Linked DNA regions of Arabidopsis thaliana. Changing the gene in region 2 together with the main gene of any one other region gives a genetic interaction. Each region holds a gene or a part of one and is shown on either strand. Other genes may lie near its edges.

What was found. A genetic interaction does not mean that the proteins touch.
Region 1: changes in AT3G18060 (region 2) and ACT7 are lethal when combined (synthetic lethality), as found in Arabidopsis thaliana (one study listed by BioGRID).

What each region holds. Positions count from the first base shown.
Region 1 is NC_003076.8:3,047,409-3,054,411, reverse strand, and holds the start of ACT7 (actin 7), read right to left. Parts: upstream 2,351-7,003; 5' UTR 2,150-2,350; intron 1,610-2,149; 5' UTR 1,604-1,609; coding exon 1,544-1,603; intron 1,450-1,543; coding exon 1,056-1,449; intron 970-1,055; coding exon 356-969; intron 258-355; coding exon 192-257; 3' UTR 1-191. Other genes in the region: IDL3 (inflorescence deficient in abscission (IDA)-like 3), read right to left, coding at 6,895-7,003. UniProt on the Arabidopsis thaliana protein: Actins are highly conserved proteins that are involved in various types of cell motility and are ubiquitously expressed in all eukaryotic cells.
Region 2 is NC_003074.8:6,179,567-6,188,129, reverse strand, and holds AT3G18060 (transducin family protein / WD-40 repeat family protein), read right to left. Parts: upstream 4,519-8,563; 5' UTR 4,251-4,518; coding exon 3,862-4,250; intron 3,637-3,861; coding exon 3,475-3,636; intron 3,358-3,474; coding exon 3,171-3,357; intron 2,891-3,170; coding exon 2,465-2,890; intron 2,092-2,464; coding exon 1,684-2,091; intron 1,600-1,683; coding exon 1,342-1,599; 3' UTR 979-1,341; downstream 1-978. Other genes in the region: BGLU43 (beta glucosidase 43), read right to left, coding at 1-45, 128-199, 284-359, 471-529, 623-836; AT3G18050 (GPI-anchored protein), read right to left, coding at 5,537-5,878, 6,534-7,199. UniProt on the Arabidopsis thaliana protein: Binds actin. Enhances the F-actin depolymerization activity of actin-depolymerizing factor (ADF) proteins.

The DNA.
Region 1 (7,003 bases), on a different chromosome or scaffold from region 2:
AAATAGAAGAGATAAAACAGAGATATAAAACTAAAGTACACAAGACTTCTTGACACAACCATAAGGTTCTAAAGAGAAAAAAGAAAATAAAATCCACATAACAACAGATAGTTCAATTCCCATCTCAACTAGGGAAAATAGATTTTTTTGTAACAAACTCACCACCACGAACCAGATAAGACAAGACACACTTAGAAGCATTTCCTGTGAACAATCGATGGACCTGACTCATCGTACTCACTCTTTGAAATCCACATCTGATTCACACACACAAACAAAACAAAATTTCAGTATTTTCACTCATGTTTCATAAATGGAGCTGAAAGTTTTAAAGAGGCGGAATTGGGATTTTTACCTGTTGGAAGGTGCTGAGGGATGCAAGGATTGATCCTCCGATCCAGACACTGTATTTTCTCTCTGGCGGTGCAACCACCTTGATCTTCATGCTGCTAGGTGCAAGAGCGGTGATCTCTTTGCTCATACGGTCAGCAATTCCTGGGAACATGGTGGAACCACCACTGAGAACGATGTTTCCATAGAGATCCTTCCTGATATCGACATCACATTTCATGATGGAGTTGTAAGTTGTTTCATGGATTCCAGGAGCTTCCATTCCGATGAGCGATGGCTGGAACAGAACCTCAGGACAACGGAATCTCTCAGCTCCGATGGTTATGACTTGTCCATCAGGTAGCTCGTAGTTCTTCTCCACTGAAGAACTGCTCTTGGCTGTCTCTAGCTCTTGCTCGTAGTCAAGAGCGACATAAGCAAGTTTCTCCTTTATGTCACGGACAATTTCCCGTTCTGCGGTAGTGGTGAACATGTAACCTCTCTCAGTGAGAATCTTCATGAGTGAGTCTGTGAGATCCCGACCCGCAAGATCAAGACGAAGGATAGCATGAGGAAGAGCATACCCCTCGTAGATTGGCACAGTGTGAGACACACCATCACCAGAATCGAGCACAATACCTGTTACAAAAAGAGAACGACTTTAAGTAAATACAAGTAAGAAGATAATATAACTCAGACTTGGATGTTTAGAGTTAAGAACTAACCGGTTGTACGACCACTGGCATAGAGAGAAAGAACGGCCTGAATGGCAACATACATGGCAGGGACATTGAATGTCTCAAACATGATCTGAGTCATCTTCTCCCTGTTAGCTTTAGGGTTAAGAGGTGCCTCTGTGAGTAGAACTGGGTGCTCCTCAGGGGCAACACGAAGCTCGTTGTAGAAAGTGTGATGCCATATCTTTTCCATGTCATCCCAGTTACTTACAATACCATGTTCGATTGGATACTTCAGAGTGAGGATACCTCTCTTGGACTGAGCTTCATCACCAACGTAAGCATCTTTCTGACCCATACCAACCATGACACCAGTGTGCCTAGGACGACCAACAATACTTGGGAACACTGCTCTCGGGGCATCATCACCAGCAAAACCAGCCTGTTAATATACAAAAATCATGATCAGTAGTCTTACACATGTACAACAAAGAAGGTTAGAACCATACAGTATCTAAATAAACAGTCTAACTCACCTTCACCATTCCAGTTCCATTGTCACAGACAAGTGGCTGAATATCCTCACCATCGGCCATTTTTCACTAAAAAAAAAGTAAAATGAAACCGAAATGAATTGGATAAGCTCATGAAGTAAACACGAATCAGATCACAACTTAGTTTCGAAGATTAGCAGCGTTTATTGAAACTCAAACATCGCTTCATATGTTGATTATTGAGAAAACTAGGTTCAAACTTCACAGATCTCAAAGAGAAAACACTAGAATTCACTTGTAAACATCAACACCTAACAGATCGAAGATTAAAACCAGATCAATCGAGCATACACGAAGTCATTTCGAACTAAACAACTTCACTTCACTGAAAAAAACAAAAATAACAGCGAGAGATCGACAGAAGCGAGAAGAATCCTCAAACTCCATAGATCTAACACATAAACCTTAAGAATTAGCTCAGATCGATCCAACAAGCACGGATCGAATCACATAACAAGCAACCCCCAAAACAAAGATTTTCTCATAAAACCACAACGCATGCTAAACAGATCTAGCGAAATCGGCATAGAGAATCAACAATAACGACTAACGAGCAGCAAAATCAAGCGAACGGATCTAGAGACTCACCTTGAAGAAGAAGAAGATGATACAGAAGATTCGAGAAGCAGCGAGAGAGAAAGATAGAGAAATGGAGGAGAAACAACAGCGGCAGCAGCTAACACTAAGGAAAGCGAAACGAGTACATGTGCGAATATATAGCTCTACGATTTTTCTCACTCTTTTATTTTTTTCTATTTCTTCTATTATTTCCCAAATAAAAAATCTGGGAGAGACAATGCTATGGTGACCTGGCTTTCACACTCTTTTTAGCTCACCGACGCGTCTATGTTGCCGTTAGATTGTTTTGAGTTTGATCTAAACCGTTGATTATGATTCGGTTCAAATGAATTAGCCCGGGAGCCGTGACTGATGGTTACGGCTAAAGTTAGGCTCGGCTTAGGATTTATCGGCTCGGCTTTTGTGGTTCGGACATCGTTCAAATTTTATTCTCGAAATAACAAAAAACTATTAATAGAAAAATAATAAAAACTAGAAGAGCAGACAAACGGACTGTGGTTTTTTTCTCGTGACTGTTTTTTTGAAAATCTATGGAGTTGTTTATTCTTGTGAATTTTTAATACGATTTCGTCTTTCATAATTCAAACTTCACACTTATAAATTAGTAAACATTTGACGGGTAGACTGTTGCAACCAAGGAGAATTGACGGAAATGGTCGTTTATTAGCAATTTAGAACAAAGATTGGCCAATTGTTGACTAGTCCATTTTAAGAGCTTCAAAACTCTCATTTTTATGAATTTTATATGTAGAAAAAGAAAAACACAGATTATCGATATGTTTTATAATTTATATAGATTAAATTGCATCATCACAAAATATAAAACAAATTAATCGTAAGGTGAATTTTTTGATAAATGTTTAAACACTATTGTCTAGATTTTATTGTGACAAAAAATAAAATAAAATAAAAATATATTAAATGATTGATCGGTTTTCGTGATATATCTTTTTATGTTATAAATGTTTTAATGAGTTAATTGAAAATTCCTGAAACCAAAATTCTAGACCAAAACCCGAATAGGAGCAAGATACATATCAACTACGATTTTGAGGAATGCACACTAAAAGACTAGGATCTTTGAAGCATTTTTTATAAGTCACCTTTGTGAGTGTTCTATATGAGACCCAATTCTAAGAAAATAATGTGTGTAAAGTGTATTGTTTATCTATAAATGGTATCATTATAAATTGGTTTAACTGGCTTGGAATATAACATTGATATAGTCTCACAACATGTTATATGTCCATTGATACTATTGATTAATTTGGTATATGTCCAAAACAAGTTACTTCCAATAATTCAAATATTAATCACCTTTTAGAATGATTAAAAGCTTTAACAATAATCTTTTTGAAATAAAGTTTCATATTCCTTGTTGGAAAGCATGTGCTAAGTTCTTACACTTTGTCTATAAAAGTTGGAAAGTGGTCTAGCTTGGTTGGCAACTTAAATAATCAAAATAGTTATGGGTACTCTTCTAATTTATCATTCACCTTTATTTTCTTAACATTTTTGTCCAATAACAACATTACCTATAAAAAAAAAAAAAGAGAGAGGTAAAAGGTAAATTCAAAGGGAAGCCAAATCCGTCATCATTTGTAGTTTGTATTCCAAGGAAAGATAAGTTGATTTGAGCCACCATGCTTCTCATTTCCACTTTACATTGATTGCAAATTTTGAATTTGCCTCTTATCGTATACACATGAAATTGTTCTGTGTATCATCAAATTGGGGAAATATAGATGAATTCCCAACGATAAAACGGGCCGAAAATCTTTAATGGACTGAAATAATAACAATAATATAGTTGGGCTGATTTGGCCCAATAGGAAACTTAAAGACCCAATGATGCAGTCATCTTCACTGATTATCGTTTGGGTCTGGTTTGTATATTTCAAGAAGACCAAGACCAACCAAGTGGTTTAAACAGAGAATAAAAGCTTTTGATGTTTTAGAACTTGGATTGGTTTCAAACTTTAAAATATCTCCACATTGAAAACAAGATGAAAATATTTTCACGGACTATCATATCAGTCTATTCCTCTCCAAACAAAAAAACTCTGTATCATTTAAATTCGATTCTTCCCTCCATCGGTCACACTTCTTATTGGGCTATATTGGGCCTATTAGAGTTAGTTTGATATATGTTGCTGTCTGCAGTTTCTCGTTTGCTCATTTGAGTCATTTCTTTGCCTATGGTTAAAAATCTTAGCTAAAATGATGATTTAACACACACATACAAACAAATAAGTTAGACAGTGTTTTAATGTGTTAGATCCTATTCAATGATGTGTGCCAGATAAGTTCTAAATCATATAAAAAATCAGATACCATTTTCGAAGTGCATGTAAATCATAACTAGCAACACATGATATACTGTATGTTAAATGTTACAATATAATATATAATTCAGTCCCTAAATATAAATGAAATCATACGATCAAGATCAATATATAATGTTCTATCACTAACCAAAACATTCGACTCTTTCGTGCGAATATGTTTGTCGCTTGCATTTGGATACATATGTGAATTGTGAAGTAACAAAAATTTTTTTTATCAAAAAGAACAAAAACAAAAACAATTGATATACGTGATTGGAAATAATCGAGACCCTATCAACGCGGGGTACACCGCACGTGTATGTGCACGTGGACACGAGTGCACACGTACGCATTAGACACATCACATGCCCGCATATCATAATCCTGATATATATAGACACTCTAGTATTTGTCACAACGTTTTCAGCCAATTTGACTTATATTAATTTATTCAATCTCACACGCATGCATGATTAATAATAATACACACACCATCGCAGCGGACAGCGGTGACCAAAAATTTCAATTATCTAATAAACTCATTACCAACAAGGCGTCAAAATAAATCCAAATGTTGTAAGACCCATGTTGTAATTGAATAGCGCTGTCACGTAAAGGATGGTTAAGTTATCTAAACAATTTGAATACATATATGTGGAAGTACTTTTAATTCGATTCATGAGTGGTTGATCAATAAATATAAGATGTTTTAATATAGTAAGCTTTTTTAAATAATATATATATAGTAAGTTAAGAATTCAAACGTAGCTAAAACAAAAAAAAAGTGCAAACTTTATAAAATGTAGATTATTGCAGTTAGCAGAATTACTTCACTTGAATTAGAGTCGATCGTTCACTTTCATATGTCCGTAAGTGTATGTATTGGATAATACATATGAGGATAGACATGTACCCGTAAGTACTAATGTTTAAATGTGTATCCGATCCATTTTTATATAAGAACAAAAAAGGACAGTACTAAAAAAAATAATACAGTCAGAACTAACGTATGTAAAAGATACAATTCCCTATATACAACCCATTTTTGGAAGTTTTATTTTACAGTTTATGGAATCTCCTTGTTTGACCTTTTAACTAGCTTATCTATAGGCTATAGGCTATAGCTCAAGCCTAATTACTTGTTAATGACGTAAACTAAAGTTGTAAGCGAGACAATGGAGTCAAGGGACCATAGTGTTCTTGAAAAGTATAAATCATCACATGGAATTCGAATAAAGGTATTCAAAGTTTGAATGAGAATCAAGTGGATATGAATGATTTTTCAAAAATTATGCAAAAAGATACAAATGATACTATTTCACTAACCCCAAAAAAACGTTCAATGAACTTCTGAAATTCTTAGGAGATATCACATCAAATCCTCCAATATATCTCTGCAACCGTTGGTCAATCGTATTCACAACGACTACTCAATGACATTATTGAAACAAAAATTAAACAAAAAGATACATCCAAAGTAATCAACTATGTATATAAGTCCAATCTTAATCACACGTTTTAGTTAGAACATATACCTTTCAATCTTTCATTCCTTCTTATTTTAAAGAAATGACAATTCTTTTACGCACGAACACACATTATTTGTATTTGTCAATGTCCATATATTATGGGATAATGTTTATCTTAAAATACCATATATTTTCTCTATGCATGTCCGAATAACCCGAGGTATTTAAACACCAACTCAAATACTAGTATATGTAGAATAACCTTCTATTTGTTATTACCATAACTTATAAGAAGAGAGTGGATATAAAATATTGAAATCACTACTCGGCTTATATCCATCAATATTCTACCAAACAGATGTAGCCTAAATTGATCGGGACTTGTATATATCTCAACAATTATCATTATGTCCGTAATAATCCACGATTAGGATACAGTGAACATATGATATATAATTTCATATATATCAAATTAGAAGACGGAAAATAAAAAGAACAATAATTGTTTAATTAGAAACCGACCCTTCTATCCTCGGCTCTTGTACACTTAGAGTAGACAACTTTTTATATATGTTTTTAGTATAAATAAATAATAAAATTAAAGACATTTCACTTTTGTTGTGTATAAAGTGTCTTTAGGAAGACACAAATCTCAAATTAAAGACATTCATTATTTTATTATTATTATTTTTTATAGTTTTATATTTAAAGACATGTATAAATAACCACCAATGTGGATGCTCTTACGTACTTGCAATATTTCAATGGATCAAACAAGTTCCAATATTAAACTAAAAAATTTGATCGTATCCACAGCATTGCCCATAAATAAATCAAACTGAAATCTATTTACATCAGTTTGAACCAAATTCAAAAGGGGCAAAAACTAAAACAAAAAAAACTTACAGAAGTAAAAAGGATGATTCATTAATCAAACCTTTGAACTACAAGGTGAAGATTAAGTCTTAGTACTACTTAAACCGATTTCGTTATGTTTTCTGGAAGGACCAGAAGTTGGAACCGGAAACTGACGTGGCAGGGACCCCAAGAACTGTACACTTTTGTGA
Region 2 (8,563 bases):
CTAAAGGAAGGTCATAGTGGTACAGATTAGCATACGGTGTAATCCCTAAGAATTAAGTTACATTCATAAGACAATTAATGATCAAATCAAAGTGTCTATGAATGTTCAATGTACTAAAAATCTATACCTTTTTCGATCAAGTAATCGATCAATCTATTGTAATAAGCAACTCCATTCGAGTTGATTTTACCGGATCCCTCTGTATTCATAAGCTGAAGTTATAGACTAATCTTAATCTAAAATATAAGCAATGTAATTAATTTTATACATTATCCAGTAATACCAGGGAATATTCTAGACCATGAAATGGAAAATCTGTAGGCATCAATGTTCAGGTTCTGCATCAAATCTACATCTTCCTGAAATGTGATTAACATGAACACCAAAGGATGTACATTATAATATAACCACACACAAAAAAAAATATATACATGATGATTTAGGAACAAAAGATTAGTGACAAGAAGTACCTTGTAACGATGATATTGGTCCACTGTTATCTCAGCAGTGGCATTGTTGGCAATCTTACCTGTGTTTTTTTACCAATGGTAAATAAGAAATCGAAATGATTAACTAATCAGTTTAATTAGTGAATTGTAATTAGATTGATTATGAGATTAACCAGGAATCTTGACGAATGCATCCCAAATGCTTGGACCACGACCATCTTGGTGGGTCTCGCCTTCGACCTGGTAAGCTGACGTGGCGGTTCCGAACAAGAATCCTTCCGGAAAACTCTTTCTGTTAAGACCGCCGGTGGCCAATGGGACGGCGTCTCCGGACGGCGACTCTTCGCCGGAGCGGGAAGCAGAGAGGAGGAGGAGAAAAAGAAACATGTGAAGCTCACTATGGGACAGAATGTGGGGACTGGGGAGTGAATTATGAACGAGGATCAATGTGTGTCTTCTTGCTTCAGGCTTAGAATTATAAGCGAGATTAATTATTTAATCATTTTTGTTAATAAGGTTGATTAACTATTGATCAGATAAATTAATTGAAAAATCTCCTCTGTTTTCATCTACTTCAGAAAACAACTTTTGTAAGAAGAACAAATATTATAGAGCCCAAAAATCATTGAGAGAAAGCACAATCTCAAGTCCCATTCTGTATCAGTAATCTTCTGATAATGAAAAAAAATCTGACTCAAGATCTCAGTTTCAGACCAAAACAGAGCATTCATTTTTGACAAAAGATATGCAGACAAAAAAAAAAACAGACACACACATCAACACAGCCACGGCCAAACGGAAGATTCACAAAAAAAGCCTTCAAAAGTAGTAGAAGCTTTCCAAAGAGACAAGATAGGACTTGTCCAGAGATCTTTATAATTTACGTCAAGTCTTATTGAGGAGTAAAGCTCCAGACGCGGATACAAGCATCTTCACCAGAACTCACTACATGGGAATCATCAGCAAAACCCAGACCATATACTCCACCTAAGTGAGCTCCTTTTATTGTCATGCGTGACGAAGCAGGTTTGTCCACTTCATACACAATCACACACGTGTCCAAGGATCCTGTGGCAACCATAGTGCTGTTTGGAGACCAAGCTAAGCAGTTTATGCGGGCGCTATGGTACAACATGTTCTTGAGTTTCATCTGTTTAAAAAAAAAGGGACGATATAAGATCAGTGTTTGTGTTCCAGATTCATGGAGAGATTCTAAATAATCTTAATTACTTACCTCTCTGGAGACTCTGTCCCACACAACTGCTTCTCTGTTCAAATCAGCTGATGCAAACATAGACAAATCTGGAGAGTAACGTATGACGCTGATGGCGCCTCTGTGTCTCTCGAGAACTGCTTCCTCGGTGAGGGAGTCACCATTAATAGAATACAAATGGAGTTTACCGTCTTGGCCACCGATGACAGCTTCGGTTCCATCAGGTGTTACTGCCAAAGCAGTGACAATGAACCCAAGGTTGATGGTTGACACTACTTTCCCATCACGAAGAAACACAACTCCTGACTCAAAGGTCACCAGAAGGAGATCGGGTGAGAGTGGTGCAAGGCTTAGATCCTTTGGTTGATTTCCAATGTCGATAGACTCTTCATTTGTGCATTGATCATCTTTATAGGAGATCCTGGATATCTGAATAAGAATCACATAGTGAATAAACGTGAGTTAGTTGCTTCAATAACAATAATGCTTGGAAGCAATTAGATAACCTACGAAATAAAAAATATTAGTCACTGCTAGTCTTACAAGGTAAAGACCATTTGGCCTTCAGTGATCGCTCTTTTAAATTCTCTAAACCACAAGATCATTAGTATATTTTTCCAAAGTGTTAATAATCTTAAGAGACCATTGTGTCTTTAGAATTGCCAATATTTCAGAGAGAAAAAAACCTAATTCACTTGTTTCGTCCTTACATTCAATCCCCTAAACACCAAATTCAGACACTGCAGAAATCAAGGTGACAAGTCCTACATGTGAATAAAAATTAAAGTGAGAACCAGTTTACCTTATTGTCATATCCAGAGGTCACGATCTCTTCTTCATGGGCAGCAAAGCACTTTATTTGAGAGTTTTGTGTCCGCTGCAATTTACCGCAAAAACCACGGCCTAGCATCCATTTACATATCAGTCCATCATAACTACCGGATAATATGTAATCAGCGTTTCCTTTAAGCACAGCTAAGGAAGAGACGTTCTTCATGTGTCCCGAAAACTGAAAGGGGGATTTATCCAGATCGCTTGCTGAGAATATGCTGATTGTGCCACCTAGAGAAACAGTGACAATATGATCGTTCTGCCACAGACACCCAACAAGCATATCGTCTACTCCACCTGATGATCCAGGACAGTTCAATGTTGTATTCAATGATCCACTACCGTTGTCTGATATATCCCATATTTTGGCTGACTTGTCTGCGGAAACAGTGAGCACCTGGTTGATGATTCAAACATATACAACACGTGAGTACAGACGTAGCATAACATCAACCATGATGTAATCAACAACTAGAAGATAGAGAATATGTCATTCAGTCTTCATAGATACACCCAAGATAGTTCATTTATGTACGTCATACTGCAGCAGGTTAGACCAATTACTTCCATACGCTATTCTAGTAGACCTTGTTTAAGCCTAATGTAGTTTGAGCGTAATATGAGGGAATCAGGCAAGAGTTGAGAATACGGAACAACAAACAGATATAACTTAGTACCTGTTTACCATCAGGACTCCAGCTGACTGCATAGATGCTACCTTTATGCCCATCATCAGAAGACAGTTCTCCCAGTATCTCACAAGTCTTTCCATCATATATGATTCCCTTCTTATCTGAACTCACAGTAATGAACTTACTTCCATCTGGTGCAAACCTCACACAGTTGACAAAGTTGGAATGCTCTCTGTCGACCAATAAACAGCAATCTCGTAAACAATTCAGAAACTCACAAGCAGGAAATTTAAACAGATATCGAAAGTGTCATATTTCTTTAAAGAAAGGGAGCACATGAATATCTGACCTGCTTGAGAGCTTGAACTTAAAAGGAGGACCTTCATAGAAATTCACCAGAAAATCCTCCCCACAAGTTACAATACGGAACGGCCTAGTTGGCTTGATAGCACAGCTAAGAACTCTCCTAGAATGACCATCAAACTCTCCCACATTTGATCCTGAATCCCACCTAATAAACCAAGACAAACAATGAGTCAATAATCCATCAAAGTTGAGAAGAAGAAACAAAATGCTCAATTTCAATCTGATTAATATCGATCCGATTCAACAAAATAAAAGCAACACCAGCAGAAAAACAAAACCTTTAGTCCGATCAATCAAAATCAACGAAAACAACATTGAGCTAAGCACTATAAAAATCAAATCTTTATCTAAAAAGCAAAACCAAACTCACATGAAAGCACGAACAAGAGATTTGCCTTTGCCATCACCAGAAGCAACGATCCTCATCCCATCAGCAGACCACTGAAGATCATCGATCCGACCAGCCAAAACCTTAAACTCATTCTTCAACACATGATCGTTGTAAGCTCCCCAGATTCTAACAGTCCCCGACACATCACCAGACGCGATCCACTCTCCGTTCGGAGAATATCGCGCCACAGTAGCTGGGTAAGCGTGCTCACCATAGATAGAGACCTTTAAAGGATTGTTAAGGTCGAGAGTCACGACGGATCGACCATTAGTGTAGAGGATGGTATCGGACTTCGAGTTACCAGAGATCAGAATTCCTCTACCTCTCTCCGTCGATGGAACACAAGCATAGGTTTCTGAAAGCTCCATCAGAACCGAGGACTTTGCAGAGATTGTTTTTGGGTTTACGGGGAAGAAGAGAGACGAGGAAAATGGAAGGACGGATTTGAGTCTTTTTGAGTTTTGTTTGACATTACATTTGTTAATATTTAGTTGTTGTAATTAGAAAGATAATGTAATGATAATCATTGTTGCAACATTCACTTCTCTGGCACAAACTCATTAGATAACCCAAAAATAATGTAAAGTGTAGTTGTATAATAGTTTTGTGCTAATCACTTTGTTTCTTAAGACTTACATATCATAATGCAGAGTAGTATATAACATTAAGAATAATAAACTTCCATTGATTTTTGTTGGAAATACCTTGAATTATGAACAATTTTGAAAAATTATATATTTTCTACTAAATTAGAAATGAGTGGAACCAAATTATTTCTCTATTATCTTCATTCCATTTTAATCAATTCCTCAATCTCTCATGTTTTTACCATTGTAATTTTAGATTAGACTAATGGGTGTGTTATTTGGCCAAAAAGGTAAATGTGCGGCCCATGGGCAAGTTAGTTTAGCCCAGCCCAGTTATATACGCAATAATGCCAAAGTCAATGAATCGCTAGCAGTTGATTGGCGCATTAGTGAACCTCTATCTAATCACTACCACAAAAAAAATGTTATGAAATATCTTTTTCATAATATTTCTCAAAGGAAAAATCTAACGAATGGAAGCATTCGATTATTGAATGAAATATTATTTGAACTATATGAGAAAATAAAGTGTCAGTCGTGGGGCTTTTTACATCTCTTGGTCGCATTGATAATTCATATAAAATATAGAATATGATAGGGATGAATCATGAATGTATTATTGTTATAGGAGCATCCGTGGTTAGAGAGAAGATAAGGAAACATAAGAACAAAGCTGTCACAAGTCTCTCTGTCTCTCTCAAACCAGCCACACCACCTCGTCCCCATTACTCACATGCCTTTCTCTGACTATTATTCTTCTCCTCCCAAAAACTGATATATTTATATTGATTGCGCTCATATAATTTGATATGACCGAAAATATTGTTGAAATATTTTCAAATTGTGATTTTTCAATATTTAATTGACAAAATACAACAAGATTTTTTTGATGTAATAAAATGTTAAAGAACATGGCTACTAAAACAACAACGACACCAAAAAACTAATTTACAAAGACAGAACCAAAGCCCTCTCTCTTTCTCTCTATCTGAATTTCACTTCTCTCAACCAACCACGTAATGCCACGTGCTCCACGTCACAATCAAATCCAACCATGGTGTGCCACGTCACCACGACCTTATTAGGACTAATGTGATAACGCTGTAAAGTAAGAAGTGGACCAAGTGGTGCGGATACTGAAGTGAAGTTGGCGAGCCGTTGGAGAATTCGGAAGAATCGACGGCTAAAGGCATGCCGTCGCTGCCGAGAGCACATGAACGTGGCACGCCATCGTGGTTCAGCATGACGGCTCGGAGGACAGAAGTGACAGTGGGGAAATAAGCAGTACGGTTCTTAGCGAGAAGCCAAGTGAGACCCATGAGGACACAGTCTTTGTTGTGCATCTTTGCTGTTCTGTTTCGGTCTTCCTTTGATGGGTTTCTTGTCCCTGAAGTTTTCTTCGGATTTAGCTGCAAAATGAAGCAGAAGTGTTTGTTTTGATTAGGGTTTGTTGCTGCTGACTAAAGTAATGATTGAGGATTGTAGAAAGTAGAAAGGTGGCAACTAGTTGCTAAGCTTTTGGCTATGGTGGGTTGGTGATTAAGATGCAGAAGAATGAAATCATATGATGGAAGACAAAACGTCGCGTGGAGATCACGGATTCTGTTAGCGCGTATATGTGTGTCAGACTGTCAGATAGAAAGAGAACAAAAAGCTAAAGAACAAAACTTTTCCCAAATTACTACCATTCGCCATATGATGGATAGATCAGAAAGAATCCTAAACTACATAATTCCAAATCTTCACTCACTCATATAGTAAAACCCTAATCCTTAAACACCAAATAAATATCATTAAAAAAGGGCTTCTAAACTTTGGACTAAACCTTACATAGTTAACTACTATAACTAGTCCATCAATTCCTCATTACTCATCCAAAAAATTGTCTTAATCAGTCAATCAAACAAAATCCAGAAGCTAAACACCAACAACGCTTCAGGGTATCTATAGATTATCTAAAAGTTACTAGATTTGCACACACATTTTACCAATTTAGCCAACCTAATTCCATTTGAACTTCACAGTGGCAGCTTCTAAATATAGCAGCAAAGTTAGTGACTTTACCTTATAGAGACTGTTCAAGCACTTGTTGCAACCAAGAAGAGGTGAGAATCCATCAGCATTGTTGTGGCTTCCACTCAAACAATCAGTCTCTAATCTATCAACTCTCTCGTCTCCAACGAGTCTCCCTTCATCATTCACTCTAAAAGCCTCGGAACAGCTCAACGGATGCAATCTGATTCCACAGTAGCAGTAAACGACGTCGCAAGTCTCGTTCGGTCTAGTGAGCTCAATCCCTCTCTGCCTCAGAGATTTCCCTAATCCGTCAACGCAAGTCTCCGAGTCATCGGGAAGCAAAGGCATATCTTCTTCAGGAGTCGTTACCGCGGCGGAGGAGGAGGATGAGTTTCTTGCGGCGGCGGAAATCGAACGGCTTAGAGCAGTGGTTGAGTAAGCAGAGTAGAGCCACGCGCCTAGTACGGGGCAACATTTTCCTTTGTGGAGCTTTTTGCCGCTGCAAGCTGACTTGATGCCGTGGAAGAGGTCTTCTGGTAAATCGAGTGGGCAGCCGGAGAAATCGGATTGCTCCGGGAAAGCGGGTATGGTTGCGGGTGGGGATGATTTGACCCGGAATGGCTGGACTGTGACCGGTTCAGGTGAAACGGGTGATAGAATGGTGAAGAGGAAGATGATGATGAGGGAAATGGAAGAAGGCGCGTGTTGGAACATCGCCGGAACAGAGGAGACAGAGTAATAGAGAAAGAGAGAGGGACAAAGAGTGAGAGACTGGAAGAGATGTGTAATAAAATATCACAAATGGGATCTCGATATATACCAATTTAATACTACTAAGTCAGTTTTTTTATTAGTTTTAATAATGTAAAAAAATCAGTGGAAAAAAATTTGTGATCAAACATTCTTAAAATTACAAAACATTTCTTATGCTTCGTTAACACTCCATTTTTCAGTGTGTAGGACAATAATAGAAAAAATAAACTTTTTAATCGTAATCCATGCTGGCGACTATTTTATGAATAATGAAATCATATTGGATTATTACTTATTAGGGTAACCTTAGTTGAATATTGAGGGTTGTGAATCACGGGACGATTGTTCTTTGCATTGAAACTTGAAAGATCACAGAGGCAAGTGATCGACAGGTTCACTGTTATTTGTTAATAATTTCAATACATAAGAGTTTGGAAGGATTCGTTTAAGTTTAGCTTATCATATTTGAGTACTTTTTTATTTTATTTTTAAACGCTACATATTTACTAGATTTGATATGTAATCTGTATAATCAATAAAATTAGCAGAGTCCGATTTCAACAATGCAGATAAACTACAAAATTATAGTACTAGCATGTGTTTGTCTCGTAATGCAGATAAACTTTTCCGTTAATTAGTTTACAATATAATGCAATTAATTTTTCGCAACTTAAATGTCATGGAAAACAAGAGACCATGCAATTTTTTCAATCACTAATATAGCTATAAGAAAAAAGTCGTCAGATTAGTTTTATTATGGTTATAGACTTATACTTTAGCTGTTTTGTCAATTTTCATGAAACTTTTGAGTTGTAATAAAACATTTTTTTGATAAAGAAAAATAAAGAGTTGTATAACAACTTTACTCTTATTTCCATGAAATAAAAAAAATATTCTATCTCAAAAGAAAAAGAAGTCTAACTTCTGTCTTTTTGTTCCAAGTGTTTTTTAGTCCTTTGATTTCTAGGAGTCTCTATTAATTTGGTTTTGTTTTGTTTCTTATTTTGTTGAAGCAAGAACTAGTTGGACGACGACGACCACAAGAACATAAACACTAGGAGTCTAGGATTTATCTCGAGATTAATAGTACAAGTATGTTCATGGAATTTTACTTTTATATCCATTTTACCCACAAAACACTATTGGTTGATAGTAAAAAGGAAAAAGAAAGAATTATGTGGAGCTCCATGTTAAAAAGGTAATGTCAGGCATGCGAATGGTTTGTTGTAGTGAAAGCTGCTTAAACTATAACACTACAAAACCCTTTTTCGGGAATGCCATTACAAAAGTATCTATCTATAACGTAATGCAAGATGGATTCACTT